Linked DNA regions of Coturnix japonica. The protein of the gene in region 1 purifies or fractionates together with the protein of each later gene. This does not show direct contact. Links are inferred from orthologs where the notes say so. Each region holds a gene or a part of one and is shown on either strand. Other genes may lie near its edges.

Region 1 (3,500 bases):
TCTCAGGGAAAAATGCAGTGCATTGGCGTGGTCAAGAAGATATTTGGTCTAGCTAGAAAATTATAGGGAAAGTTTTCTCTGAGTTCTTCACAACAGAAGTACCAGGTGATGTTTTCTTGTAAAAACAAAAGATTTTGTCTGGACGTTACCAGCTGATTGACATAACCATTCCTCAAACACCCTTATAGTGTGAATTAATTATTCTCCAGTGAAGACCCTCTGTTATCAAAAGATAGAGTTTAACTTTCAGTTAAAATTACTTCATCGTGTGAATGGTCTAATTATTCTAGAATACAATGTACTAATCCAGAATCAAGTGTCCACACAAGGAGTTGTTGTATTTTATTCAATATGTGATTATATTATTCCAGGCATTATTTCTTAGTGAAACTTATATTTGCATAAAAGGTCGTTATTATTATTATTATTATTATTATTATTATTATTATTATTATTATTATTATTATTATTATTATTATTATTATTTTATGGGGAAAAAGTGGAGTTTATCACAACAAAATGTAATTGTGTCATTTAACCTTGTTGAGGTTTTTTTCAGGGCATTTGCAGTCTAGACTTTAAATATTTTAAGAATTACAATTAAATATTTGATATGACCCTTAGAAAAATACTTAACACTAAGAGCATGCCTTTTTCATTAAATAATGCAGAGATTTCAAGCTTCATAGATTTTTAAAAGGGAATTGAAATAATGTGTGTAGGCTACATTCAGAGAACTATTACTTGTAGTTCTTTGTTGTAACTGAACGAGCCTACTAGTTATAGCCCATACATATGGACTGTGCATCTTTGAAGATATCTGACATCTACCAAGTACAGCTGCTGCAATTAAATAGCCATCTTGAAGTAGACGTCTGAATTAGATTGAGAATTTCTGTCTTCTCATAGCAAACAGGTCTTCAATCTTTGCTAAGAAAATTGGATGAGAAAAATCAGAAATTGTTTTTTATTTAAAAAGAGAATTTTGTGTTATAAGTCTTTGTCAAAGTTTTATGGGATATAAATTGGTTTTGTAATTTAGGAAAATAAAAATCCATTTTCTCAAGCTGTTAAAAGGCAGCATGAGGTTAAGGAAATTAGGAGTGGTCACAAGATGAAATAACTTGAAAAATTCTGCTCTTATCATCATGGAATGATATTTCTCAACACTTTTTATTCTTACAGGTAAAGGTGAGAATCTAATACTGTTAAGATTGGCTTTATTGATTGAAAAGTACATATCACTAAAGCTTGGTACTGTCTTGATATATGGGTCTTTTAAAAATATAAATGTAGGATTTAACAATATAAATATAGATCTTACAGTTAGGCACTGCTGTCTTCTTTACCCTACAGCAAATCTGTTCACCAGAAGAAACTTGTTTGCATGGTAACATTTTGGTATAATGCAAATAATTATTAATTGCAGAAAATAAAATGTAAGTTAGTTGTTTGTACTTATTTGCTCTGTTTTTAAGTATAATTTCCCAGTTTCTCTCAGAATACATTGCCAGCTTTTTCTCAGAAGATAGTTATACTTAGTGCTTTGTGAAATATATCTCTCTAGTTACATTCCTAAAGTAAATAGTATTTCTCTTTTTTAACCATGAACAGGATGAAGAGAGTATTCCAATAACATATCGTGAGTTACCTGAATACAAAGAACTGTTAGAGTTTAAAAAATTGAAGAGACAGAAACTACAGCAGATGCATGCAGAGAGTGGATTTGTGCAGCATGTGGGATTCAAGGTAAGCTGATGCTCTGCACTCTGCCGAGTGAAGAAGTTTTCAAAGATAACGTGGTTGGAATTTCCTAAAAAGGCTTTGTTTAGTTCGCCAACTGTGGTTTTATGATTCTTGTTCACAGTGTCTGCTTTTCCTCATCTTTAATCAGAACAACCCAGGTAATTCACTCCTTCCAATTCCTCAGGTTTCACAGAATATGTAGAATGCTGTATGAAAATTAATAAGCATGCTAACTTTTCCTCATTTATAGAATGAAAATTCAACTCTACAGATAGGTTATATCACTACAGAATTCTATTTTGGCATTGCACTCTGTCTTGCCAGTGATTCCCTGAAAATAATTCTCCGATTTTTGGAGATCTTTTTCCTTCACCTCAGGCCAAGGAAAGGACAGTGTGAGTGTGACTGTTTTAATTGGTTTTCACTACAGAGAAAAGGTAGCAGCTTCTTATTCCTGTCAAGTAATGCTTGCAGAAGTTGAAACAGTTTTGTAAGATAATGTTTATGTGAAATTAAAAAAATAAACTCACTGTTAAAATACTGTGTTGTCCCAGTGTCAGCCATGTCATGCACCATATGAAAGAAAAGACATTCTCTAGATAAGCTTTTCTGGTTTGCAGGGTTTTTGTTGTGACTGTTTGCTATGTTGGAACAGCTTCTTCATCTTATTAAAAGCATTAGGCCAGCTACATTTATTTTCTGCTAACCATCTATATAAGAATGCAAAAATTTACAGTTTAAAGTTCAGTTCAAAACAACTGGAATATTGAGGTAGCCTCATTAGTTGACACCGACAGACTTAATGGTGTTGTTAGGTTGCCAAGGCTTCCTCCTCTCTCCGCTCTCTCCTTCAGTTACTGTTTTTGTTCCAAAAGATACATTAAAACTTTGGTCAGGTAGAGCAGCCTTCTAAGCAACAAACTAAGTCCTTTCTTCTGCATTATGTTTTATATGAAATAATACTGAAAAGTAAATTGGCATTATATACTGTCAAGCATTAAAAGTTTGAAAGTTTCTTTGCAACTCCAGTTTGATTTTATTATGCAGTATAGTCTATGAAATTACATCATTATATGCAGTTTTCCCTCAGGAGTGCTGCCTTGCTTAGTGTACAGGCTGGACAATAGTCACCTAGTAAACATCTCTTCAGAACACTTAGCTCTGCATGGCCTTCAACTTCATTTAGAACACATTATTTGATTTCTACTTTGAATATTGAATTATTGAATCACATGTGATTATTATGGCTTTTGTTGCTTTAATATCAAAATACTTTGCAAATAGTATTTTTTTTTAAATAAAATGAGAGGTATGGTATTATTTCTGATTCACGGATGGGCAAGATATTGGAGCACAGAAGGGCTAAGGGTTTCCATTTTTTTGGCTCTGAACTTGGGACAACTGAAACTGGATTTTTTATTTTTTATTATAATAGAGTATTATATTGAATTCTGTATTTTCTGAGAAAAGCCCTAACTATGCTTACAACTTCTTCCTTATTAGCCCTCACACTGTGAAAGATGTCTTTGTGAAGGTGTGGGATACAGCTGTGACAAAGTTTCTTAGTAAGGTGTTCAGAACCCTGAGTCGATGGTTTGTGCTCAGGGGCAAATTACTGTGCAAGTGAGTTTCACAGGTGGTGCCCAAAGCTCTCTCAGAGCTCTTCATGTCCTGAAGGAAGGAGAATAAGCTATATGGACACAAGCTTGTTTCCACATTTTTCTTTCCTTTTCTGTCCTGTCCCTGCAGCACTC
Region 2 (4,294 bases), on another chromosome or scaffold:
GTAGTCATCCTGCGGCTGTGTGCGGGGCAGAAAACAGCATCAGTAATGAGTGAGAGCTGGGGGCACGGCAGGGCCCATCTCCAGGGCAAAATGTGGCCGTACCCGCTGCGGGGGTGCATGGATGAGGGCACGGTAGAAGCAGGTGGTCTGTGGGTAAAGTGCCAGCACCAGCTGCTCGCGCTGGAACAGCGCTTCGGGGTCGGTCTCAGGGTTGGCCTTCCACTGTGGCAGAGGGATCACACGGCGCCGGCTGAGCGTGTGTCTCCTGCAGAAGGGAGGAGCAAGCAATGGGTACGGGCTGGGGATGGGGGAGATGAGGGGTGTGGAGAGCAGGTTTGGGGGCAGGGGTTGAGAAGGGCTTTGTGGTGTGGCGGGTATGGGGAGGGAGTTCGGGAGGAGCTAGAGGGGTCTGGGGGGGTGCGCCGAGGGGATCTGGGAAGATTTGGTGAGAGCAAGAAGAGTTCTGTGGAGAACTGGGAGCGTGGGGGACATGGGGAGGGGGGCTGTGGGGAGTTGGGGTGTTCTGTGGGGTTTGAGGAGGTTTGGAGGGAGTTAGGAAGAGTTAGGGGGTGATAAGGAGGGAGTTGGAGGGATTGGGAGGGCTTGGAGAGGAGGCTGGGGGCTGCCTGAGAGCGGGGGCAGCTGTGGGGTTAGAGAGGGCAGTTGTGGAGTGGGGGTGCTCACTCTTTGCCCTCCTCATCGATGTCGTCCACTTCATACCTGGGGTGGGGAGAAGCGAGAAAGGAGAAAGGACTGAACTACAGCAAAACAAGGGGAAATGCTGCGATCCCAGAGCACACCACGGCCCCACAAGCAACAAGTGCAGTGCTCCACACCATGCCCCACACCCCCAAAGTGCCCAAACTGCCCCCCCGGCCCCACTCAAACCCCCCCCAACACACACATATTCCTGCTCCCCTCCACACCCAACCTGCCGCCCCCTTGCCCCCTCCACGCACTTGTTGGCAGCATGGCTGTAGCTGACCACCTCCGCCAGGATCCACTGCTCATCGCCGTCCACGGCCTTGACACGTGCCGCCACTTTGTCCCCAGGCTTGGCCACGTAGTCCCCAGCTGCCGGCATGGCACCGCACAGTGGGGGGGGCCTGAGAATGAGGTGGGGGTGGGTTGGTGGGTGGGAGTTAGAGGGTGAGGCTGGGCTGGGGTTTGGGGTTCTGCAGTGCAGTCAGGGGGGTGTTGGCAATCCACAACAGGGGTCAGGGAACAGGGCCTGGGGTTTGATGGGGGGAGAGGGGAGGAAGGGTGAGGGCACGGTCAGGATGGGGTCTGGATGGGGTTGGGTTTCCCAGGGTGGGGCTGAGATTTGCTATGGATCCAAATGTCAGGCATGGGGTTAGGGCCGTGCTTTGGAATCTGAGTCCAGAACCAGAACTCCAGTGGAACTGGGAGCTCAGGGCACAATGTGGGGTATGATGGAGTGTGGGTCTGGGAGTTTAGGGCACCCTGTGGGGAAGAGTGCACTTGTGGGGTCGGGAATACCTACTTGTCACCTGGCTTGCCGATCCAGAGCGGCAGCGTCATGGCTGACTGCTGCAGCAGTGTCATCAGCACGCCACGACGCATCGTCTTGCGCGGCGGCTCCGCGTCACTGTAGATCCCTGCGATCTTGGCAGCTGTGACACAGTGGGGGGGTGGACACAGTGACACCAAGATTGGGAGGGCAGTTGTGGGGGGGGGCATACAGAGGGAGATTTGGGCGTAATTCCAGGGATTTGGGGTGTAAAAATAGAAAAAGAGAGGTCAGGGACACGTGGGGGTCAGGGACACTTGGGGGCTCAATGGAGGCACGTACCAATGCGGCGCTCTTCCAGCAGAGACTTGATCTCAGCGATCTTGTCCAGCGCCTTGCGCAGGATGCTGCAGAGCCATAAGGGCAGCTGTCATGTATGGGGGGCACGGGGCAGGGTGTAGGGTTGGTGGGGTGCAGGGTTGGTGGGGGTGTAGGGTTGGTGGGCTGTAGGGTTGGTGGGGTGTAAGGTTGGTAAGGGTGTAAGGTTGGTAAGGGTGTAGGGTTGGTAAGGGTGTAGGGTTGGTAAGGGTGTAGGGTTGGTAAGGGTGTAGGGTATGGGGATGTGGGTATGAAGGGGCCGCCCTACTTGCACTCGGCCTCAGCATCTGCCTTGGCGGTGGTGTACAGCCCGCGCAGCTTCGTGCGGTAATACGGCGAGACTGGAGGGGGGAGGTAAGAACGCTGTGAAACCAAGTCCCCATCGAACACGCTGTCCCCAAACCCCGCCCCGTTCCCGAGCCCGGCCCCAAAGCTGCCCCTGCCCAACACTCCTCTCTGAACCCCTTCCCCTCCCCATTGCCCTGCTCTCCTCCCAGCCCTGCCCCCTCATCCCCCTTCACGCCGCCCCTCGGCCCGGCCCCGCTCTCACTCTTATTCTCGGTCTGCATCCTCTCGTGCGTCTTCTGGATGTTGATGAGGTTGTGCTCGCTGCGGGACCGCTCCTCCTGCAATGCAGCGGGATGACGGGGGCTGCCCGCACCACCACCCCACCTCCAGCCCCACAGCCCAAATCCGGACCCGTGCGACAAAGCGCCGCCCCGAACCAGCACCCTACAGCCCCGCACCGCCCCCAGAGCGGCCCGATGGTGTCGGTGCGGCAGAGCAGCGCCCCGCTCGCTCTGTGCGTCCAGCCCCGCACCTGCGTGTGCCCCAGCAGCCGCTGCAGCTCGGACAGCAGCTCCGCGATCCGCGAGTCGGCCGACACCAGCGCCATGGCCGCACCGACGGGCCGCGGGGCGCTCTGCGCATGCGTCAGGCGACACAGAGCACTGTGCGTCAGCCCGCACATCGCACTGCGCATGCGTCCCGGTGCAGTTCCGCGCTTTGGCCACACGGAGGCAGCACCGACGTAAGAAACGAGTTCGGCGCTGAACGGAGCCGGTCACGGCAGCGCTGCGCCCCAATGAAGGGATGGGTCAGATCGACCCCAATGAAGGGATGGTACAGATCGACCCCAATGAAGGGATGGTACAGATCGACCCCTGCTGCAAACGGGAACGGCACGACACGGGAGCAGTATTACATGACCATAAACAACATCTACTTGCTGCAGAAAACAAAGGTTATGATAAAAGATAATCAGCATACATGGCCGGGGGTGACGGTTTCCTTGCAGACAGGCAGGACTAGACTGATTTCCTTGTTCTCACATTGGTGGCGGCTCTTGCCTTGCAAAGCAGCTGTCAGATCAATGAGCACAGGTGTCCTGTCTGCAGAAGTCCAAGATGCCTGCAAACCAATAGGAGAACATGGCCTTAAAGATGTGATCGGCCCTGAAAGTTGCTGCTGTTCACTACAACACAACAGTGCTGGTATTCCCTTGTTGACTTTCAGTCCTCTAACAGCTATTAAACTTCCTAATCCATTGTGCAAGCTGCAGCTACTTCAGCACAGATCCCCAGGGCCCCTAACAAGCTCAGCCCTGACTGATAAGCAGTTTCATTTAGTTTTAGTCAGAACTAAATACAAAATAGCTTTCAGTATATAGTAGTGAACAAACTCTCATTTAAGTACAATGAGATCTTTAACTCTGGTGTAGTTTTTAGTGCAGTCTTCTATCAGAAACAGAGTTATTTCCCCTAACCCTGACATACCCAGACCTCTGGGATAGGAAGAACAAGTTTCTGAGTGGAAGACAATTCCACTTCAATAACTTTATATTTGCTCTGACCTGCATTGGTTGTATCATCCCCACAGACCCCCATTTGCAGTGCTTACAGATAGGAGCTGCAAGAGTTCTCAACACTCCAGATATTACACTCCACTAACAAGGTTATGTAGAAATTACCTCTGAAGTTGGCATAAACCAGAGGGCCGTGCCTGTGCACACAAAACTTCCCTCTGCTTTGCATTTTTCTCTAATTCAGAATGAAGAATTTGACTTTACCTGCAGGTGTACAATTAAACACTGACTCTGCCAGCTGAAAGAAAGGTTCTCCAAGGATTTCCCGATAGCTCATGTGAGTTGCAGGAACAAGGGACTGAGTAGCATCTTTGAAAAGCAGATCACTTTCACCATATTTTTGTGAGTGAAAGAGCTGGAATTCAGAATCCAGCTTGGTCCCCAGAAATTCCTAAACAGAAAAGAAGTTCCACAGTTTGGACTACAAATAACAACGTTATGTTGGTGACCATCAGTTTTATAACAAGATCTAACAAGAAAACAAAACACAGATCTACTTTCATCCAGTTATACAACAAGATATGGCTTTGGAGTGGGTTATTTCTCAGAAGTATAATGGCAACCAATGGCCTTTGGAGAGT
Region 3 (3,997 bases), on another chromosome or scaffold:
GGGAGTGCAGCACAGTGATGGTGCAGTCCAGATCTGCGCTGTGGGTCCCTGGGACTCCCTCACCTCTACGGGCTTCCTGCGTAGGATGAAGAAGTTCTCAGCCCTCATCATCATGAAGCGCATGAACTTATGGCACAGGATCTTCTCGATCTCATCGGCCTGCAGACACAAAAGGGAAACGAGGTTCCTCACACTCTCACAAGCTCCCAGCCCCCATCCAGCCCATCCCCACCTGTTTGACAGCGATGCTGACGCGCACGGAGTTGATGGAGCCCTCGATCAGCACCTTCTCCTTCTCGTTCCTGCTGATGATCACGGGCTGCAGCAGCAGCTCCTTGCTGCTCCTGGGGGAGCAAAGGAAGGTCAGCATGGAACCGCTCGGTGCCTGCAGGCACAGTGCGGGCAGTGTCCGTGTGTCCGTGTGTCTATCCCCATTGACACACAGTGCGGGCAGTGTCCGTGTCCATCCCCATTGACACACATTACAGCCCCGTACCTGACCTCCACCTCGGGCTTGTTGTGCCGTTCCACCACCTGCGACGAGAAGTTCTCGAGGCACAGCGCGGCCTGCAGCGTGGCGCGCACCGCGTTCAGGTACGGGCGGAGCGTGGCGGTCTGAGGGGCACGGCACAGTCACGGACCGGGACCGGGCCCACCCCAGCCCCGTCCCCCCCTATCCCCGTACCCACATCCACCCCCATCCCCCGCCCCGTTCTCCCGCCCCGTTCCCTCCCGCTCCCACCATGGTGTCGGCTCCGGTCCGGTCCGTGGAAGCGGAACCGGAAGTGGCCGGCTGTCTCTTCCTGGATGCTCGGGAGGGCCCAACCCGCAGCTGTGTGGGGGCGCTCTGTTCTCTCTCCGTTCCCGTTCCGTTCCCCGTTCCGTCCCGTCCCCCCACACCGTGTATATGTATATATGTGTATATATGTGTATCTGTGTGTATATCCGGCCGGTCACGGGGCGCGGCTGCAGCGCCTGGAGGCGGCGGCGAAACCCCGCGAGATTCGACCCCCCCCGCGATCCCGCCGCTCTTGGTACGCTCCGTACGGCGCTTCCATATTAGGAAAGGAAGAAGGAGAGACGAGCGAACCAATCGGCTGCGTGCACCGGGCGGGGCCGAGCCAATGGGGAGAGAGGGGCGGGGCGAAGCGGCGGGGGCCGGAAGTAGCCGAGCGGCCCAATGTAAACCCGGCCCCCCCCGGCCCTGCCCCCTGCCCGCCCCCCGCCGGGACCCGCCGAGCTCCGGGCGGCACCGAGAGACCGGACAACAGGCTTCTATCGCCGCCCGGTTCCGACCCGGTGCCGCCATGAGCGAGCTGAAGGACTGCCCGCTGCAGTTCCACGACTTCAAGTCTGTGGACCACGTGAAGGTGTGCCCGCGGTACACGGCCGTGCTGGCCCGGTCCGAGGACGATGGTATCGGGATCGAGGAGCTGGACACGCTGCAGCTCGAGCTGGAGACGCTGCTGTCCTCAGCCAGCCGCAGACTGCGGGTACTGGAGGCAGAGACACAGGTGTGGGATGTGGAACATGGAACGTGTAACGTGTAACGTGTCCGTGTTGTGACCCCCCACCCCATCACCGCCCCACACACGACCCTACACGTTATTCCTCTATTCCAGATCCTGACGGACTGGCAGGACAAAAAGGGCGACCGGCGCTTCCTGAAGCTGAGCAAGGAACACGACGTGGGCACCTCCGTCAAACACGGCAAGCCCAAGAAGCAGAAGCTGGAGGGTAAAGGGGGGCACGGGACGGGGCCTGGGCCCGGCAGGCCTAAGTCTAAAAACCTGCAGCCCAAGATCCAGGAGTACGAGTTCCAGGATGACCCCATCGATGTGCCGAGGATCCCTAAAAACGATGCTCCGAACAGGTGAATGGGGAGATGGGGGTGTTGGGGTTGGATGTTTCCTTCCTTGTAGTGCAGGAGATCACGAGCTGCTCTCAAAGTGTCCATCACAGCTCCCCATCACCATCATTCCTCTGCTCTGGCCTCGCAGGTTCTGGGCATCAGTGGAGCCGTACTGCGCCGATCTCACCAATGAGGAGGTCAGGGTCCTGGAGGAGCTGCTCAAACCGCCAGAGGACGAGGCTGAGCACTACAAGGTGACAAGCTGCAGAGCCCCCAGCCCATGCTCTCTCACCCCATACTCTGCCCTGCACTGTCCATCCCTGGGCAGGCTAAGAACTCACACCCCACTGTGAACATTGTGCGTGTCCTCTGGGGTGGTGCTGACCCACGGGCTCCTCAGCACAACCCCAGCCCTGTGCTGATGGCCCATCCTGTGCTGCAGATCCCACCGCTGGGGAAGCACTACTCACAGCGCTGGGCTCAGGAGGACCTGCTGGAGGAGCAGAAGGATGGAGCCCGGGCAGCGGCTGCGGCTGACAAAAAGAAGGGTGTTCTGGGACCACTGACCGAGCTGGACACCAAAGGTGCTGTCCCATCCCCTATCTGTGATGGACTGCACTGAAGCTGTGTGGTGAGACCAGGGGGCTGGCATCCAGCTCCCACAGAACCGGGGCTGCTCACAACTGTCTCCTGCATCCCCTCAGATGTCGACGCCTTGCTGAAGAAGTCAGAGGCCCAGCACGAGCAGCCTGAGGATGGATGTCCCTTTGGACCCCTGACACAGCGTCTCCTGCAGGCCCTGGTGGAGGTGAGGGAGCTCAGGTCTGTGCAGTGGCCCTGCGAGGTGCTGCCAGGGCGAGGTGAACCTTTCCCATGTGCTCTGCTTGCCAGGAAAACATCATCTCCCCTGTGGAAGACTCGCCCATCCCCGACATCGCTGGCAAGGACTCAGGAGCCGATGGCGCTGGCACTTCTCCACGCAGCCAGAACAAGCCCTTCAGGTGAGCTGCTGCAGTGCTGCCTGCTGCTTTCCCTGTGCAAATCGGGGCAGAACGCTTAGGAAGCATCCGCTTTACTCTTCACAGCGTGCCCCACACCAAGTCGCTGGAGGGGCGGATCAAGGAGGAGCTGGTGGCTCAGGGCCTGCTGGAGTCTGAGGACCGTCCCGCCGAGGACTCGGAGGATGAGGTCCTGGCTGAGCTGCGCAAGAGGCAGGCGGAGCTGAAGGCGCTCAGCGCCCACAACCGCGCCAAGAAGCACGAGCTGCTGCGGTGAGTGCGGGCAGGGCATGGGGCCGGCTGAGCACCAGCAGCATCCACTGATGTTCTGTGTCCCCAGGTTGGCCAAGGAGGAGCTGCACCGGCAGGAGCTGCGGCAGCGCGTCCGCATGGCCGACAACGAGGTGATGGACGCCTTCCGTAAGATCATGGCGGCCAGGCAGAAGAAGCGCACCCCCACCAAGAAGGAGAAGGACCAGGCGTGGAAGACGCTGAAGGAGCGTGAGAGCATCCTCAAGCTGCTGGATGGGTAGCGGGGGGACAGGACTGGGCTGCACAACGCTGCCATCATCCCTTTATTTCACGGACTGGAGGCGCTGTGAGCACAGGAGCTTCCCGGCTGTACCTGTGCTCTGCCTGGATCGCTGCGGGTCGGGACGGGGTGCACGGGGCTGGGTCCTGCTCCTGGCCCAACCCGCAGCCACCGAACCGCAGGGACTGGGCGAGAGCATCCCTGGAGCAGCCATAGCCGCCCTCTGGTTTCCGCTGCCGCGGTTATTCTGGGCAATGGAGCTGTGCCAGGACACGGCTGGGAGCCGGGCCGGGCCTCGTTAGCGCCGGGAACAGCCGGGGACAGCGGCGGGGAGCGGGACGGGGCTGTACCGTGTGTTGTGCGGTGAGGGCAATAAAGGAGCATTGGCACTGCCGGTGTGCCGTGCGGTGCTGGGGGCTGCGGGGTTGTGCTGGTGTCGGTACCGTCCCATGTCTCCATTCCCGCCCCTCGCTCTGTCCCCGTCATTCTCTGCCCCTCCGCGGCCCGCGGTCACGCGTGGGCACTGACCGCCCGCTGCCCCCATTGGCTGAGCGGGGGGCAGGTCCCGCCCCCCCGCCGTGACGTCATTGCTGCCCGGCGGCGCCGCGCCAGGAG
Region 4 (4,087 bases), on another chromosome or scaffold:
TAACCCAAAAGGAATATTTACCATTATCTCGTAAGTGTGATCACTTTGGTGTTTCTTGTACTCAAATCCTCGTGTGAAACACTGCAGAACGAAAGATGAGCATTATGTTACTCTCTTCTGCCCTGAAAACATTGTGACTGGCATTTTTCCCCCCTTACATTCTCTGACTACTGCTTATCCAAAAGTGACCGCCTGATATGCTGAAAACAGCATCTGCTTTTTCTGATGTGAAATCAGAAAAAAACGTGTAATGGCAGAACAATTTGTGTTATAACTTTGAGGCTGTGTGGTATTCTGGTCTTGTACACCAAGACCCAACTCGTGTGCAGCTCCATGCTTTTTGTTAGGTATTTATAGCCAAGATAGGCAGGATAAGAAACTTGGTGCTATGTTATGTGTCATTCCTGGAAGGGAGCACAGAGCATTCTGCAGTATTGAAAGTGCAGTTTCCTTTTGGAGTTTTGATAAAGCTCCCTTTTTGGTATTAGAAGTTGTTGCCATTTTTTAGTCATAAATAATTAAAACAATCCTTTCTGTGGTGATCTGATCACACGTACAATTTGTAAATAACTATTATCTGGTCAGAATTATTGTCTATATTGCAAACTTCCTGCTGATTTTCTTTTCCATTTGGGAGGTTAAAAAAAGAAAAGAAAGCTGAAAAGGGACAGGGAGAGGGTGTTTTTTGATGGATTTTCTTTTCTGTGCCATCAAAGTGACAGAAACAATACTTCTGCAGACGTGCAGTGGCATGCTGTGTTACAGTCAGGCCTTTGGCAAGCTCTGGCTGCCTTCACAAAGACCTTGCTCAGCTGCTCATGTCTCAGTTCTTCAGCCTCTCATATTTTCTTTGTCATTTTCCTCTCCCTGAGCAAATAACTGTGTTGATATGAGTTTATGGAGACCTGTTATTAATGTGTTTATGGAGCGGCATGGCACTGGACAGCCTTTGATGAGTTTCTCAGAGAAATGAATGTCTTTGCTTTCATCCTTGCACTCACCTGCAAGCACAGGAGGAAGGGAGGAGGCCCACACTCCGCACACTTCACGTAGGGCTCGATGAGGTACGAAGAGCAACCTCTGCATGGAGGTTTATCGAAGGGGTCATCTGCAAAGCCAGATGTAAATCTCATGCAACACAAATGTGGCACTGCTTTTGCAATCACCCAAATTCACTCGTGTCCAGCAATTCAAAACAAACTCAGCTGTATGCAACCTCTTCCCTACTGATAAAAGTTCATTCCTGAGCTGGAGTTCTAAGACAGATATTGGCATTTAAACTTTGCTATGGACCTGGTCAATTGAGGGCAACTTGTTCGATCACACTGGAATCAAGGAACAGCTCTGCAGCAGCTGTCTGGTGCTGCTCAGCAGTGATGGCAGCTGTGTGAGCTGTCTGACTTGACTCAGTGCCCAGGGACCCAAGGCTTTATGGAGAATATTGCACAGACAGCAGCACTCTCCCATCCATCCTCCCTGTCTGACTCAAAAAGCATATTGCTGTGGTTGCAAAGGCATTGGCTCGATTGTTCTGTAACCTGCCCAAACCTCAGGCTGCTGAACAAGGAGTGCGACACTGCTCTGCAAGTTCTTATGTTGTTCACTGCAAAATAGTCTAAATACTGTCTTAAGCCATATTTGTTTTTAAATGCAATTTAAGTAGTGAAAAGCAGACAAACAAGATCTGAATGGCCTCCAAATCATTCCCGTCCTCATGCAGCCGAGGATTTGATGGATCAGATGCTTCTGTTGCTGTCTCCCTCCCCAGTTCAGACCATGGTGAACACCTCCCTGCAGCACTGTGGTACTCACTGCCGAAGGAGGCCAGGCGCTCCATCCTCTCCCTGGAACACGGGCTGCCCCAAATGCAGATCACTGTGTCCAAAGTGGTGTTGTGGGCTGGAGAGGTGGCTGAAATCCTCACAGCATCTTTGAGTGGAGAACAGTGAGCAGCCTGTCACAGGGACTGAGGTGGGGTCAGGCCCTGCTGCCCCTGCTGGGTGAGAGGTGATGGCTTCTCGTTGTGCTGGAAAGGTCTGGTTGGGTATGAGGAATAATTTCTTTATTAGAGCAATNTCAGCTGCCGGCACTATGGGGGGGGGGGGGGGGGGGGCACCATCCCTTCAGGTGTTCCAGATGTGGGGATGTGGGGCTGAGGGACGCGGTCAGTGTGGGTGGGTGGGGGATCTTGGAGGTCTTTTGGGACTGAATGATTCTGTGATTCTGAAGGGGTGAAGTGGTGGCCCTGCCAGGCAGGGGGGCTGGAACTTCATGATCCTTGAGGTCCCTTCCAACCCAGGTCATTCTGTGATTCTATGGGGACACACCCCAAGGCCCCAGCAGACAGTGACACAAGTGATGGCGGTACCGGGAACCCGGGGGCGGACTGTCTGTGTCAGGCACATTTGGGCACTTTGCTATTAATTCTGACGGGCGCTGCTCCCTGCGCTCCCACACGGCGCCCCCGCCCCGCTCTGCAGCACCGTCCTCCCCTCACCGGAAGGCGGCGCCCTTCCCGCCCCGTGTCCCCGCCCCCTCTCCAGGCCGTGAGGTGAGCGGCGGGATCGCGCTGCCGCCCGTCCTCCCGCTCCCTTTTCCTCTCCGCCGCAGTTTCCATCTCCCCCGCCCCGGATCCGGCTCCTCCCCGCCGTGCTTCGCTCCCGACTTCCCTCTGGCCGCTGTCGGGCCGCGCCCCGCCGCCTCTCACCTCACGCCGGGGCAGTTCCCGCGCGTCACGGCCTTCGCGAGGCCGCGTCACCGCCGTGCGCGTGCGCTGAGGCGTTGTACGTGCGCGGCCCCGGCCCGCTCCGCCCTCAGAGCCCGGGGCGATGCTGCGGGACGGTGTCAGTGCCGGGCAGCGGCGTTGTGCTGGGCCTGCAGCGCACACACAGCGATTGAGGACGTGTTATGAATTTAATTGTGCGTCCTTTAGAGCTGCTCTTCTGGCCGAGGCTCTGACTGCTGCCCTCTGTGTGCTGGTCCCCCCCTGAGGGCTGTCACCTCGTCCCCATTAGTGATAGGACCAGAGGGAATGGCTTCAAGCTGCGACAGGGGAGATTCAGGCTGGACACTACGAGGTATTACTGCTCAGAAAGGGTGGTCAGGCACTGGAATGGATGCACAGGGAGGTGGTGGAGTCATTGACCCTGGGGGTGTTAAAGGATGTTGTGTTGAGGGACATGGTTTAGTGGGAGCTGTTGGTAACAAGTGAACGGTTGGACTGGATGATCTTTTAGGTCTTTTCCAACCTTGGTGATCCTATGATTCTATGATTCTGCTGCTGGCCTGCTGCTGATGTCCCATTTTGTGTGCAGCTCGGCAGCTGTGATGGTGGTTCAGATGACATGCAGTGCTAGAGGGACGTGTTCTGAGGCTCACAGGTTGTTCCCATTCAGTCCTACAGATTCTGAAGTGTTTAATCCCTTGCATGGGAGCTGAAGGTGAGAGCTGTTCTCTAACAGACAGATGCAGCCTTTGGCAGTTCATATCTGGAAGGTGAAGATGGCATTGAGATATTAAACAGGGAATAAAGTAGAGATTCAGTCTGTGTGAGCACATGGAAACCACCTCAGACCTAAAGCTCACAGTGAATATCCATATTATTCCTTTGAGGCTGGGGGAGGTGGAAGTCTGCTGTTGTAGGATGAGTTCAATACATGTATGCTCTGAGCTGTTTAAGGAGACCAGAAATATTGGAAGCGATTTATTTTTCCTTCTTCCCAGGCCCTAAATGAGCGTGTAAAAAATAAATAGTTGAGGGAGGCAGACTTTGGAATGTCAATGAAATATTTATTGCTTATGCCAACAGGTCTGTCAAGTATCTGGGAATTAAAGCATGAATCCAGGTAGTTAATGGAAGGAATCAGCATGTGGGTGTCTTCACAGCACCTCGTTTCACAGTGAATTGATGCCATTGCTCCTAACCAGGTAAATGTTGCTTCTGATGTTAAGTCTGGTTTCAGTCTGCAGCAGTTGAAGCTGTGGTTGTTTAAGCTGCTGATGTTCAATCTGCTGTTCCCAGTAAGTGGTGAGGAAGAAGATGATGCATTTTTTAGGTAAAAACAGTGTTTCTCTAAAGCCTGCAGCA
Region 5 (4,016 bases), on another chromosome or scaffold:
CAAAACTATTATACTAAATTGAAATGCTATCATTTTCACTAATTTTACCTTTCACTTTAATCACGTTTGTTCAGCAGACAGATGAAGAAGATTACAACAAGGAAGGACTGGCTTTATGCATTCAGTTTTCCTGTTCTACACAGGGGATGTGCCCTGGCCACCTCCTCACAGCGAAGGTCCATCACCAAAGCTGACTATGGCGCAGCACCTCCACGCTCTACTTGGAAATAGATTAACCTGTTTTAGGGGAGTATCCAACCTGAACTTCCCCTGGTGCAACTTGAGGCCATTCCCTCTCATCCCATTGCTATTAGCTGCGATAAGAAGCCAACCCCCACCTCAGCACAGCCTCCATCCAGGCAGGTGTAGGCAGCAATAACATCACCCCTGAGTCTCCTCCAGAATGAACAATCCCAGTTCTCTCTGTAAGCCTTGTGCTTCAGACCCCTCACAGCTTTATTGCCCTTCTCTGGGCACACTCCAGGGCCTCAGTATCTTTCCTGTAGTGAGAGGCCCAGCACTGACCACAAAGCCTCACCAGAGCTGAGTACAGGGGCTCGAACACCGCCCTGCTCCCACTGCTATACCATTACACGGCTCCATTGCCGTTCTCGTCCTTCCTCTGCTCAGGGCTGCGGCTGCTCGACGCGCTCAGCGCTCTGCAGGGCGGGCCGCTCTTCCCCCTCACAGCCTGTCCCGCCTTTCCCCGCGTTGTGCCGTTGGTTGCGGCTCGGTCGGTTCCCGGCCGTGCGGTGTGTGGTGCCCGGCGATGTCCAGGAGCTCCCGGGCGGTGCTGGTTGTCACCGCGCTCCTCTCCGCCGCCACCATCGCGGCCGTGCACGTCCAGCAGCGGCGGGAGCGTGAGGTGAGTGAGGGCGGGCGGGCAGGCCCGGAGCCGTGTGGTGCCCTCTGGTCTGTTGGCTTATTATTAGCGCTGTCAGATGCAAGGTACAGCTTGGGAGTGAAGGGCTTAATGTAAACAGGTCTTCAGCTGGCCTCACAGAGGTGGTTTACTAGCTTTATTAATCAAACAGGCAGTGATGAACCCTGTCCCTTGTGCTTCCAGAGGCTGCACAGCGGTGTGCTCAGAGATCTGGAGAGACAGAGTCAGAAAAGGGAAAACATTCGCCTGCTGGAAGAGCAGATCGCTTTGACGAAGCGGCTTACGGAAGAAAGAGACAAGATGCTGGTGGAAAAGGGATCCCAGCAGCCCTAGGTGGGACCTGACTTGTTAGAGGTTTGATTCGAGGCACTTGGGACAATTGAATTCTAATTACTTTCAAGTATTTCAGTAAACAGACATCACCTGTGAAAGACTGTTTATTTCAGACACATTATATTCCTGTACCAGAAGCCATAGGGCACAGCAGAATATTTCTTCCATCACTAGTACTTGTGGAGACTTGACACAGCCAGTGTGGATGGACGTGTGAATGTAGGGAGGACAGGCTCCTTGTGCTGCTGTAGGCCATGAAGGATGGCTAATAACGTCCACATGAGCGGGCTGCTGAGCCGACACGATGATGAAGCCACGAGGACTTCGACGTCGGAGGGTCTGGAGGAGGGTGAGGTGGAAGGGGAAACCCTTCTGATTGTAGAGTCTGAGGACCAGGCCTCGGTGGATTTATCCCACGACCAGAGCGGAGACTCACTGAACAGCGATGAAGGTGATGTGTCCTGGATGGAGGAGATGTCCTACTACTGCGAGAAGTGCCAGAAGTGGATTCCAGCAAGTAAGAGGGCTGGCTTTGCTGTTTCTTGTTTTCTGATAATGTGAGTTTAGTTGAGCTTTTGCAGAAGCGTGTCCAACCTGTAGCATCTGGCACTGGGGGGTGCTTGGAGTAAGCTAGATAACTTGATTCCTTTGCTGTTGCTGCTTGACATAAGATGTATGGTGCTAGCTAAAAAACAGGCTTTACTTTTGAAATTCTGGACAGCTGGAATTTGGAATGGACACATTATTAGATCCAAAACCTAAGTGTTGCTAAGCACTGCTTTTTGTTGTTGTTTTGTTATCGATTTGCTGTTGTGTTTTTATTTCTGTGTTTAGAATCATGGAACTCTTCAGTTGACATCTGCTTTGCAGCTGCATCGGGGCTGCCCTTATTGCCATCCTAAAACTCGCCACAAGTTTAGTGTAGAAATGTTGCAAGGCATGGTGTGAGCATTGCTAATAATACAGTAGAGCCAGCACAGTACTGTTAAAATGATGCTACATTGCAGCTTTCCTTCACGTGAAAGGGCTGAAAGTTTGATCTTTTGTCTGTTGGTTTTAGGTCAACTGAGAGAACAGCTCAGCTACCTCAAAGGAGATAACTTTTTCAGATTTACTTGCTCTGATTGCTCAGAAGATGGGAAAGAACAATTTGAACGGCTGAGATTAACTTGGCAACAAGTAAGTACCTTGTTTGTGCCAGGAAAACGTGCCAGCACTTTATAGAATTGTTGTTTGTTATGTATTCATTACCTAGAAAAGGAGGATTGGATATAGATGACAAACATGAGTGAACTTCAGAAATTAATTAGTTGAGAATTGCCTGCAGATTAGAGCTTGAGTATTTGGCAAGTAAGTGGCAAGATAATCACACAAACCACATTCCTCTCCTTTTTCGCTCCTCATTCATGTTGCTCATGAATTGCATGGCTTCAGGCGAATGTGGAAAAGCAAAATGCAATGTAGCTTCTAGGCACGAACAGTTTTTTGTATATAGGAGTGAATGCAAAGCTAGCGAGGTGGCAGCACGCAAACAGAAAGCTTGCCAGTTCCCTGAATGCAAAGCTCTAACTTGGCTGCTTGCTTACTAACAGTAGTTGTTGCTGGATTCTGCAAGTCCAGTCACTTACACGCCTGCGCGATCAAAATATTCTGCATTATACGGCAGCCACTGCGTGGGTAGAGTGATGCGTGTGTTGCTCCCAGGAGGGTGCAGGTGCTGCTCCTTTGGGGTACGTTGAATTGAGGGAAGTGAGCAAACCTGTCTGAAGTATGGAATTGATTCTGCATAATTAACAGTTGGTCATCTGGGATTTACTCACAAAGAGATGTGGTTCTTTCCAAACCTTTCCAATAGTTGGTTGGACTGAATTAGGCTGTAAAGCATGTAGAAGTGCTGTAATGGATTTTTTCAATGAAGGTCAATTCTGAGAGCATCATTTGCAGGCCAGTAACGAGTGGTGTCCCCCAGGGGTCTGTCTTGGGGCTGGTGCTCTTCAACATCTTTATCAGGCAGGGTGCTTGGAACTTGGAGATCCTTGGGGTCCCTCGCAGCCCAAGCCATTCTGTGATTTGGAGACAAACGTAATTGCCGCATACCAAGAAATATTAGTAGATGACATGTGATTTCTACATAGTTTAACCTGCGTTCAGTTTGGTACGCAACGGTAACTATCTGGGAAGACTCTGATTGCTATGTTTCTGATGAATAAGGTGGTGGGATTGCTCATCACAATTCTTTTTGTCTTTGAAAAAGACTATTTAGACTTCCACGCTGCATTCAGGTCCCAGTTGCGATATGATCAGTTTTTCCCACTCTGCAGAAGTTTGTGTTTCTTCATAAACCTGCATAATTAGGCAGCTTTTATTCTCCTACGGTGGTCAAATCTTGGTGGGGGGAAAAGACAGAAGAATTTTCATTTAACGATAGAGAGATGAGGAAAGACAGCATGAAAGAGAAAGAGAGATGAGGAAAGACAGCATGAAAGAGAAAGATTGCAGAAATTGCTTAAGAGGTGTTGCAAAAATAAGATATTTATGAGGCTGCAAAGGTGTGTGTGTGCATGGCATCATAAGGCAGCTCACCAGGAGAAGCAGAAAAGGTGCACTGGTTTCCATTGCTTTCTGTTCCAGGTTGTCATGCTGGCAATGTACAATTTGTCTCTGGAAGGAACTGGCCGTCAGGGGTACTTCAGATGGAAAGAAGATATCTGTGCTTTTATTGAGAAACACTGGACTTTCTTATTAGGAAACAGGTAAAGATATGCTGTGTCCTGGTGAGATGAATGAATTAAAACTGGTG
Region 6 (3,500 bases), on another chromosome or scaffold:
ACCACAGCACATTTACTATGTCTCCCAAGAAGCTGCATCACCCCTGCCATAGCAGTTCTGTAACCACTTGTGTAGCACCACTTCTACTGTATTCTAGCTCTGGACCAGCCTTCACCCCTTCTCCCTGTTTGTCCTGCTTTTTTTTTTGCTGCAAGCCTGCTGTCCAAGTAAAGAATTTACTTCCTTTTATGGAGAAATGTGGATGAGCTTCAGCAAAAGCTGGTAACAGCAGCCAACTTTCTGGGTTGTCAGGATCCAGTTCAAAACAAGCCTCCTCCTCACTGCTGCAAAGGGCTAGAGAGGAGTGGGAAATGTTTTCTGTAAGCAATGAAATGCAACAGTGTCTGCGTGTGCTGTTCACAAGGGCAAGAGGTAAGCACACTATGAGCTAACTCTGTACACAGGGAAACTAGCTACCTAGGGTACTGCTGCCTGTGCCTGAGGCACAACCAACACCACGGCCACAGGAGAAACATGAGGTGTTACAAGGCAAGACAGAAGGCTGACAGCCAACCAAGTGCCTCATACCTTGGACTGTGCTGTCCCCTCGCTCGTGCTCACAGCTGGCTTCTGCGGTGACAAGGCCAACATGTGGCTTCCTTTTACCGTGACATACTGCTGCACAGAGGTCTGTGTGGTCAGCCCTGCTGCCGACGCCTGGGGTTGCTGGGGCAGCTCTCCTGGCTCCTGTTTTATTATCACCTTTTAAGTAACATAATAAAGTTGACATAAAACAAAAACCAAAAAGCCAATAACTAAGTCACTGGGAATCATTTCCGGAACAGCCTGCCTGCAAGAACAGGCACACAACAGCTGCTAACTCGGATGTGGTTCTCATATACCACCAGGTGAACTCTAACTCACCTCCCAATCTACTACGAGGGCTACTCCCAACATGCAAGCGTGTGAGGGGGTCAGTAATTAAGCCAGCATTCCCATTTTGAAAGATGCTTACAGAAAGGAAGAAACACAGACAGTACCAGTAGTATTATAACTACTAGTCCTACTAATGGTATCCCGCATCTCAGAAAGGAGACAGAACACCATGAGGTTTCAAATACCAAAGAACCTCCCAGCCCAAAACGTCCTTTTTTTTCTACCTTGCAAAATCATAATTGACATTATGGCCGTAGATATTGTAACCAGGTATAGATACTGTAACTGGTTAAAGATTATATTATTCTCTTGTGTACATTTCAACATGGTTATGAATTTATCTGGGACAAGCCATAAATCTAAGCACTAAGACCAGCAACTTAAGAAAGGCTGCTGGTTTGGCAGGTGTCTTTTTCCCCACCAGACTGCTATGACTGGTAGGACTCTTTCACCTTCCAGTTTGATCACCCAGTATTACTGGAACCCTTCAATTCAGGATGGTAACTTTTAAGGAAACGTACTCACAAATGGCAACATCTGACAGCCAGAAATCACCACAGCATTTAGCAAGAAACTATTACAAAATGTAAGAGTAAACTACTGTTTACTTATATTGTAACCTCACCAAACAAAGCCTTTAAAAATATCAGCTTCAGTACAGTAGTGACTCAAAAGGAGAACAAGAAAGGATGAAAGAGATGATGAAAGGAAAAGATCACAGGAACAGCAGTGCCATGGGAAAAGAATTTAAGCTTCATCTTTTGAGACGTGCTAGAGAGCTCCTGGCAGCGAAACACACTGGTTCCAGTCAGCTCTACATGCACTGGAAGTTACATGGTTTGCAGCACAAGTCAGCATGAAATGGTAATACCAGGCTCCTTGTCCAGGCACAAACGCCAAGAGGAATACCTTTGTAAAAGCTCCAAGTCCTCCAGTGACTGATTTGGGGCTTTGCACCTTGGAATGACTCCCAATAGGACAAAGAGGTGGCATGGTGGCAAACAGGGAATCCTCCTGCTGCAAATAGGAAGATGTGGCACAAAGATTGGTGAAACGTCCAACAAAAGCAATAAAACAAGAGATTGCTAATAGTGGGTGGCACAGACAATCTGGGCAATTCCAAATTACCTGTACAAATAAATCCATTTCCAAAAATCAAGCAACACTTAAGTAACAGGAACGTAGCATACTTAGTACAACATACAAAGCAAATTTCTTTGTCAATTTATGCCTCCAACAGCAGTAACTGTTTCCTACCACATCATACACAAATGAAAGAAACAGACAGGTCGTCCACCAGCTTCTTACACAAAGCATTTCTGAGCTGCAATACTGAGGCAGGCATATGTTAGCCTTGAGAAGCCAAGTCTGAGTGGGCATCTAATCAATGGACACAAATAACTGATGGGAGGGTGAGAACATGACCGAGTCAGACAGTGTTCAATAATGTGCAATGAAAGGACAAGAATCAATGAGCACAAACTAGAACACAACACATTCTGTTTAAACATAAGTAGTGATTGAATTTTGGAACAAGTTGCCTAGAGAGGCTGTGGACTCTCCAGCACTGGAGGTACTCAATACCCAACTGGACATCTGCAAAATGGTGCATCTTTCATTCTTGAATTTGCAGCTGTAGAGTCAAATGCACTTGAGGAATTATGGAATGGTTATATTCTGTTTAATTAAAAGAACTGTACTATTTTAAGATCAGTGTGAAGTCTGTGGTTGTGGTTTCATGACCATTTAGTCCATCCCTGGGTTGGAACACAGCCCTCAAGATGCTGAATCAGTACTCCTGCCTTCCTTGTGCCAATGCATACAGATGAAAACAGCTGATCTTTCAAACAGATGGACTGTGTAGCTACATGGTGAGCAAGAGCAAACCACTGCCAGCAAACAGGAGGAGGTGTGAAGACAAGGTTAGAGGCATGGCCAGCCCTTTTAAGAGCAGCACACATATGGACCACTTTTAAAGTGACTGAAGAAATGCAAGTGTAAGTCATTGGAACACCATCTGTAACATCACACTGAACTATCAGACACCCTCCCCTCTTAAAGAAACCACAAAATTACAACTTCCCACTAACCAGAAGACATATGGACAGAAATACAGCTGTTTACAGCGCTCAGATTTCTTTTTTGGTTGTTGTTTTTTTTTAATGCTGTCAGATTTTAACTGAATCCAACAGAATTCAACTGTTACAATGATATGTGCCCATTCTGACTCATTTAAAACCTTACAAAAAAGAAAAGCCTCAAACCAGTACAAAACAATTGCTTTATAACAGTTAAGCAAAACCCATCTGACAGACAGGCTCTTGGAAGCAGAACAGCCAGCCAGCACCTGACATTTAAAGTGCTCCAAACTAATCGCTTCACAGATCCATCTTCAACACATTTTTCTTAACAGATGTGGGAAGCACTTCAGTTCCAAATGTGAAACAATAAGCTTCCTGCAAGCTCACTGGAAAACCTTCCCCTCCACAACCAACATTAAGGCTCCTGAGTCATGAAGACAGGAAACAGCTCCCATGAGCAGCAGCAGCTGCTCTCAGAAAGGCCCCACTGGTGCTACTTGCCTGTCAGAAATACCTCTCCCATGTCTTACGCAAGAAAGGGTT
Region 7 (3,500 bases), on another chromosome or scaffold:
CCTGCACGGAAGTTTCTTCCTTGCACACTTGTGCTGTTTTATGTCCTTTCCTCCTATTTTTAGACAGCTCTGGTTTACTGATCAGCATCCTTTTTTCACCTTCCTGCATTTACTCTGATGCCTGTGGCTGCTTTAATTGGCTTAGACATAAAGCCTGTCAGTACAGCCCATCTCGGTTTATTCTAATGTTTCTATTTAAATATAAATACACCAAAGCTCTACAAATATTTTCTTATGGCTGAACATACAAAAGAATGACTTGTCATTTCTTCAGTAACTTAATTAAGTTTTAGGAAGCAATATCATATATTTTACCAGACAGTGTCTCCTATGTAAATTCTCTGTGAAACTTATGGAAAAATAAGCTTTAATCTCTAACAGTATGAAGCACTTCAAAGACAGTGCATATGGGGGTTCACAGTTACATAGGAAAATCTATGCCTCTTTCCTACTTATGTATATAAAAATGTCTTTGCTGGTAACACAGCCACTAGTTGTACTAATGGGATCCAGTCTACCAGATGGATTTAAGACTGGTTACATATACAGTCAGTTGTGCCAGGTGGTATATTAAAAATAGCAACAGTGTGAGTTATGTTGAAATAAAATAGTTATTCTAAGTAGCTCATAATTAAAACTGATTACAGATATATTTCTTTGTAATTCAGCCAGCATTAAATTAACCTCGATTTAAATATGCAATTCCCAAGACATATATGAATTGCAATTCTGTTAATATTGGGAGGAATATCTAGCTAAAACATCGAGAACAACAGCTATAAAGATAATCTGGTCACAGTAAGAGCTGTAGGCTTTCCGTATAGAATCCATTAAGCATTTCCTTTTTATTTTTTCCTGTTTTCCACCTTGGTCTGACTGGCAACATCTGCAGAGCATGTGCATCCTCTTAACATTTTTTTTTTAAAGCTACTCTTAAAAATACTTTTTTTTTTTTAATTAAAAAACAAACAAACTTAGATTGCAATGAAGATTAAAATCTGGCTAGCCAGTTACCTTGATTACAATCAATAACATTGCAAAATTCCCTGACATTATTTTCATTGATCTCAGCTTGTTTCCTCTTGATGAAGGCTGATATCCGCCTGTCAATCTGTAGGTAACAAACATGATGGCATATATCTATTTCATTAGTTATATTTAAAATTTAGAAAGAAAAAAGATCTTTTTTTCTAATACAGGGAAACACTTACTTCTGCTTTTCCAGCTTTTATTTGGACCACCTCTGGATCAAAATTAGTATGCGCATCCTTCAGATCTCCCAAGTCATAATTTGCATACTTTTCTTCAGTCTGAGAGTTACTATCATAAACATTTAAACTTGTTTCACAACTTTGGTCTTCTGTTTTACCTGCAGGTTCAACGTGACTTACACTTTCCTCTTTAATCAGTGGCTGGAGTTTTTCTAAAAGAGGCTGAACAAAGAAAACAGTACATTAGGGTTGCGGGGTGGGGGGGGGATGGAAGCAAATGGAAAAGGCTAAGAACTACTATAAACTCTAAAACAGACCGACTTTTAGGAAATGAAACATTTGCTTCCTACAGTGGATGGTAATTTAAAAAAAATAAAAATATTTTAACAATTTGTACAGGAAAACTCCGAAATTTCTGAGAAAAATTAAATCAGTTACTCACGTGTTAGTAGCTAAATCAAAAGCTTCTATCATTGGCACCAGTGCCACTTAACTACCATGTCATTCAAATGCCTACTCAGAACTGTAAGGCTTAGTGTTCTTCCTTCTTAACACGAAAGCCAATGCTTTCACACTGTAAAGCCTTTACCTTATCAGCAGAGCTCTACATTCTCCACTTGAAACTGCAGTTGCCCAAGTGAATGAGAGAAAACAGACATGAAATATATTGGTATTATCCAGAACACATGCTTTTCTTGACATGGCTGATTATCTACTTAGGTCATGAAATTAAATGAGAGAATGCACACTAACATTTGTAGCAGCAAAATAAAAGCTTATTATTCTACTGCAGTAACTCTTCCACAAGACGTAAAAACAAAACCTTGGTGTATATACATCTGTATATATAAAGTCACAAATCCTCATTTTTGTTTTTACCAGTTTCAACCTAACTAAATTTACTTCAGTTTTCCCTCCAGAAATCCAAGTAATTATACCACAAGTAATTTTTCCTTGTTTATATCTGGCTTGTTTTCTCTTTGTGTTTATTCCAAGAAAGATATTGCTTATCTGGGAAACACAAAGGGATTTTCCTATGCCTGCAGACAAGCAAGTACAGAAACTTTATTTATTTTTCGCTGTCTCAGAACTGCACTCTTGAAATAATTTGTTGACTCGCTGAAGGGAAAATGGATATTCAAATTCCCACCTTTTACGTACCAGCTATCAAAGTCAAAACACTCTCAGATACCAGCTGATACCACCATGCAACAAAATTATAGCTACTTTTGACAGGGTTGGAAAGTTTCACATAGCTAAAAGAAATGACAGTAATAGTGACTGGCTACTTGGCAGGATGAGACGTTAATGTCAAAGAAATTACTCTTTAAAAAAAACAAAAAAATCTACGCTGAAAATATATTTAATTGCAGTAAGACACTCCAGGATGTGTCGTGCTGGGATAATGCCACTTCTTGAACCACTGAAAGCACTCCATGAGCCTCAAAACTCACCCAACGCATGGAATCATTATCATAGCATGACACACACCTGCCGTGTCTTATTGCTTAATTATAACCCACCATAGATGGAAATGTATCACATTTACAATGCAAGTCTAGAAATCAATGAGGCTGCATTTATTCAGCCTGCTCACCTACAGTGGCTATTCCCACCATTAACCCAAAAAATCTGTAAGTGCAGGTACCTATGAAGCATACCAGGATTTCAAGTGTATAATACTAGTGGACTCTTTTTTGTTGAACATAGCAGTAAGATCAAAACAACTAAAATTTTTCAGTTTAGGTAATGTGGCTACATTCGGTTGTTGACCACTTTAGTCAAGTTGAAGGTGTCCAATGTAATATTTACCTGCAGACATAAAATATGCTGCTGAAGTGCACTAAAGAGCAATGTTGGCTGAAGTGCTGATGTGCTCTGAAGCTTGCTCCAGTCGATTACAACTTTCACGACATCATCTCCAAGGTTAAGCTTCCACGGGGAAGAACAAACACCACAATAAAAAAACAACCAGTACATTATGCCGTATTAACATCAGAAAAGCAAACAGGGCACCTACAGGACAGCAATTATGCTCAATCTCATGCAGACCCCACCTTTATGTGAGGATATAGAATAGATTTGACATTAATTATAATTCAAGTAGCCATCACTTTCGAAGATAGTATTAGTAGAATATGTTAAAAAATTAGAAAATCCTAACTATCTAAACACACTCACTGTATTAATTTGACCTTAAACTTTGGTAAGTTCTCTATTCAATTAACCACTGTGCTTGAGCATACAGCTTATGTTAATCACTCAAATATTTTCTTTAACAGATAATAG

The links.
Region 2: the proteins of ZZZ3 (region 1) and SGF29 purify together in Homo sapiens (affinity purification with mass spectrometry; 7 studies listed by BioGRID and IntAct, counting the BioPlex papers as one, with this or other methods). This does not show direct contact. The link is inferred for Coturnix japonica from reciprocal best matches to the Homo sapiens genes ZZZ3 and SGF29.
Region 3: the proteins of ZZZ3 (region 1) and TADA3 purify together in Homo sapiens (affinity purification with mass spectrometry; 4 studies listed by BioGRID and IntAct, counting the BioPlex papers as one, with this or other methods). This does not show direct contact. The link is inferred for Coturnix japonica from reciprocal best matches to the Homo sapiens genes ZZZ3 and TADA3.
Region 4: the proteins of ZZZ3 (region 1) and TADA2A purify together in Homo sapiens (affinity purification with mass spectrometry; 4 studies listed by BioGRID and IntAct, with this or other methods). This does not show direct contact. The link is inferred for Coturnix japonica from reciprocal best matches to the Homo sapiens genes ZZZ3 and TADA2A.
Region 5: the proteins of ZZZ3 (region 1) and KAT14 purify together in Homo sapiens (affinity purification with mass spectrometry; 4 studies listed by BioGRID and IntAct, with this or other methods). This does not show direct contact. The link is inferred for Coturnix japonica from reciprocal best matches to the Homo sapiens genes ZZZ3 and KAT14.
Region 6: the proteins of ZZZ3 (region 1) and YEATS2 purify together in Homo sapiens (affinity purification with mass spectrometry; 3 studies listed by BioGRID, with this or other methods). This does not show direct contact. The link is inferred for Coturnix japonica from reciprocal best matches to the Homo sapiens genes ZZZ3 and YEATS2.
Region 7: the proteins of ZZZ3 (region 1) and MBIP purify together in Homo sapiens (affinity purification with mass spectrometry; 4 studies listed by BioGRID and IntAct, counting the BioPlex papers as one, with this or other methods). This does not show direct contact. The link is inferred for Coturnix japonica from reciprocal best matches to the Homo sapiens genes ZZZ3 and MBIP.

The regions. Positions count from the first base shown.
Region 1 is NC_029523.1:16,801,520-16,805,019, forward strand, and holds part of ZZZ3 (ZZ-type zinc finger-containing protein 3), read left to right. Parts: intron 1-1,614; coding exon 1,615-1,749; intron 1,750-1,867; coding exon of another isoform or gene 1,868-1,948; exon of another isoform or gene 1,949-2,286; intron 2,287-3,500.
Region 2 is NC_029530.1:7,882,920-7,887,213, forward strand, and holds the start of SGF29 (SAGA-associated factor 29), read right to left. Parts: upstream 2,801-4,294; 5' UTR 2,745-2,800; coding exon 2,670-2,744; intron 2,476-2,669; coding exon 2,400-2,475; intron 2,191-2,399; coding exon 2,118-2,190; intron 1,879-2,117; coding exon 1,814-1,878; intron 1,635-1,813; coding exon 1,505-1,634; intron 1,107-1,504; coding exon 960-1,106; intron 721-959; coding exon 685-720; intron 266-684; coding exon 103-265; intron 16-102; coding exon 1-15. Other genes in the region: melanotransferrin-like, read right to left, coding at 3,219-3,259, 3,918-4,104. UniProt on the Homo sapiens protein: Chromatin reader component of some histone acetyltransferase (HAT) SAGA-type complexes like the TFTC-HAT, ATAC or STAGA complexes.
Region 3 is NC_029527.1:9,002,121-9,006,117, reverse strand, and holds TADA3 (transcriptional adapter 3), read left to right. Parts: upstream 1-1,197; 5' UTR 1,198-1,307; coding exon 1,308-1,514; intron 1,515-1,622; coding exon 1,623-1,873; intron 1,874-2,000; coding exon 2,001-2,106; intron 2,107-2,294; coding exon 2,295-2,436; intron 2,437-2,556; coding exon 2,557-2,660; intron 2,661-2,743; coding exon 2,744-2,853; intron 2,854-2,937; coding exon 2,938-3,123; intron 3,124-3,190; coding exon 3,191-3,383; 3' UTR 3,384-3,802; downstream 3,803-3,997. Other genes in the region: ARPC4 (actin-related protein 2/3 complex subunit 4), read right to left, coding at 64-159, 233-344, 497-615, 743-745. UniProt on the Homo sapiens protein: Functions as a component of the PCAF complex. The PCAF complex is capable of efficiently acetylating histones in a nucleosomal context. The PCAF complex could be considered as the human version of the yeast SAGA complex.
Region 4 is NC_029534.1:7,297,266-7,301,352, reverse strand, and holds the start of TADA2A (transcriptional adapter 2-alpha), read right to left. Parts: upstream 2,801-4,087; 5' UTR 2,708-2,800; intron 2,522-2,707; exon of another isoform or gene 2,498-2,521; intron 2,037-2,497; 5' UTR 1,838-2,036; coding exon 1,813-1,837; intron 1,109-1,812; coding exon 1,002-1,108; intron 82-1,001; coding exon 22-81; intron 1-21. UniProt on the Homo sapiens protein: Component of the ATAC complex, a complex with histone acetyltransferase activity on histones H3 and H4. Required for the function of some acidic activation domains, which activate transcription from a distant site. Binds double-stranded DNA.
Region 5 is NC_029518.1:13,436,109-13,440,124, reverse strand, and holds the start of KAT14 (cysteine-rich protein 2-binding protein), read left to right. Parts: upstream 1-1,216; 5' UTR 1,217-1,477; coding exon 1,478-1,733; intron 1,734-2,276; coding exon 2,277-2,395; intron 2,396-3,847; coding exon 3,848-3,969; intron 3,970-4,016. Other genes in the region: protein PET117 homolog, mitochondrial, read left to right, coding at 770-865, 1,067-1,216. UniProt on the Homo sapiens protein: Component of the ATAC complex, a complex with histone acetyltransferase activity on histones H3 and H4. May function as a scaffold for the ATAC complex to promote ATAC complex stability. Has also weak histone acetyltransferase activity toward histone H4.
Region 6 is NC_029524.1:686,961-690,460, forward strand, and holds part of YEATS2 (YEATS domain-containing protein 2), read right to left. Parts: intron 1,894-3,500; coding exon 1,786-1,893; intron 703-1,785; coding exon 529-702; intron 1-528. UniProt on the Homo sapiens protein: Chromatin reader component of the ATAC complex, a complex with histone acetyltransferase activity on histones H3 and H4. YEATS2 specifically recognizes and binds histone H3 crotonylated at 'Lys-27' (H3K27cr).
Region 7 is NC_029520.1:33,099,786-33,103,285, forward strand, and holds part of MBIP (MAP3K12-binding inhibitory protein 1), read right to left. Parts: intron 3,144-3,500; coding exon 3,024-3,143; intron 1,434-3,023; coding exon 1,212-1,433; intron 1,112-1,211; coding exon 1,015-1,111; intron 1-1,014. UniProt on the Homo sapiens protein: Inhibits the MAP3K12 activity to induce the activation of the JNK/SAPK pathway. Component of the ATAC complex, a complex with histone acetyltransferase activity on histones H3 and H4.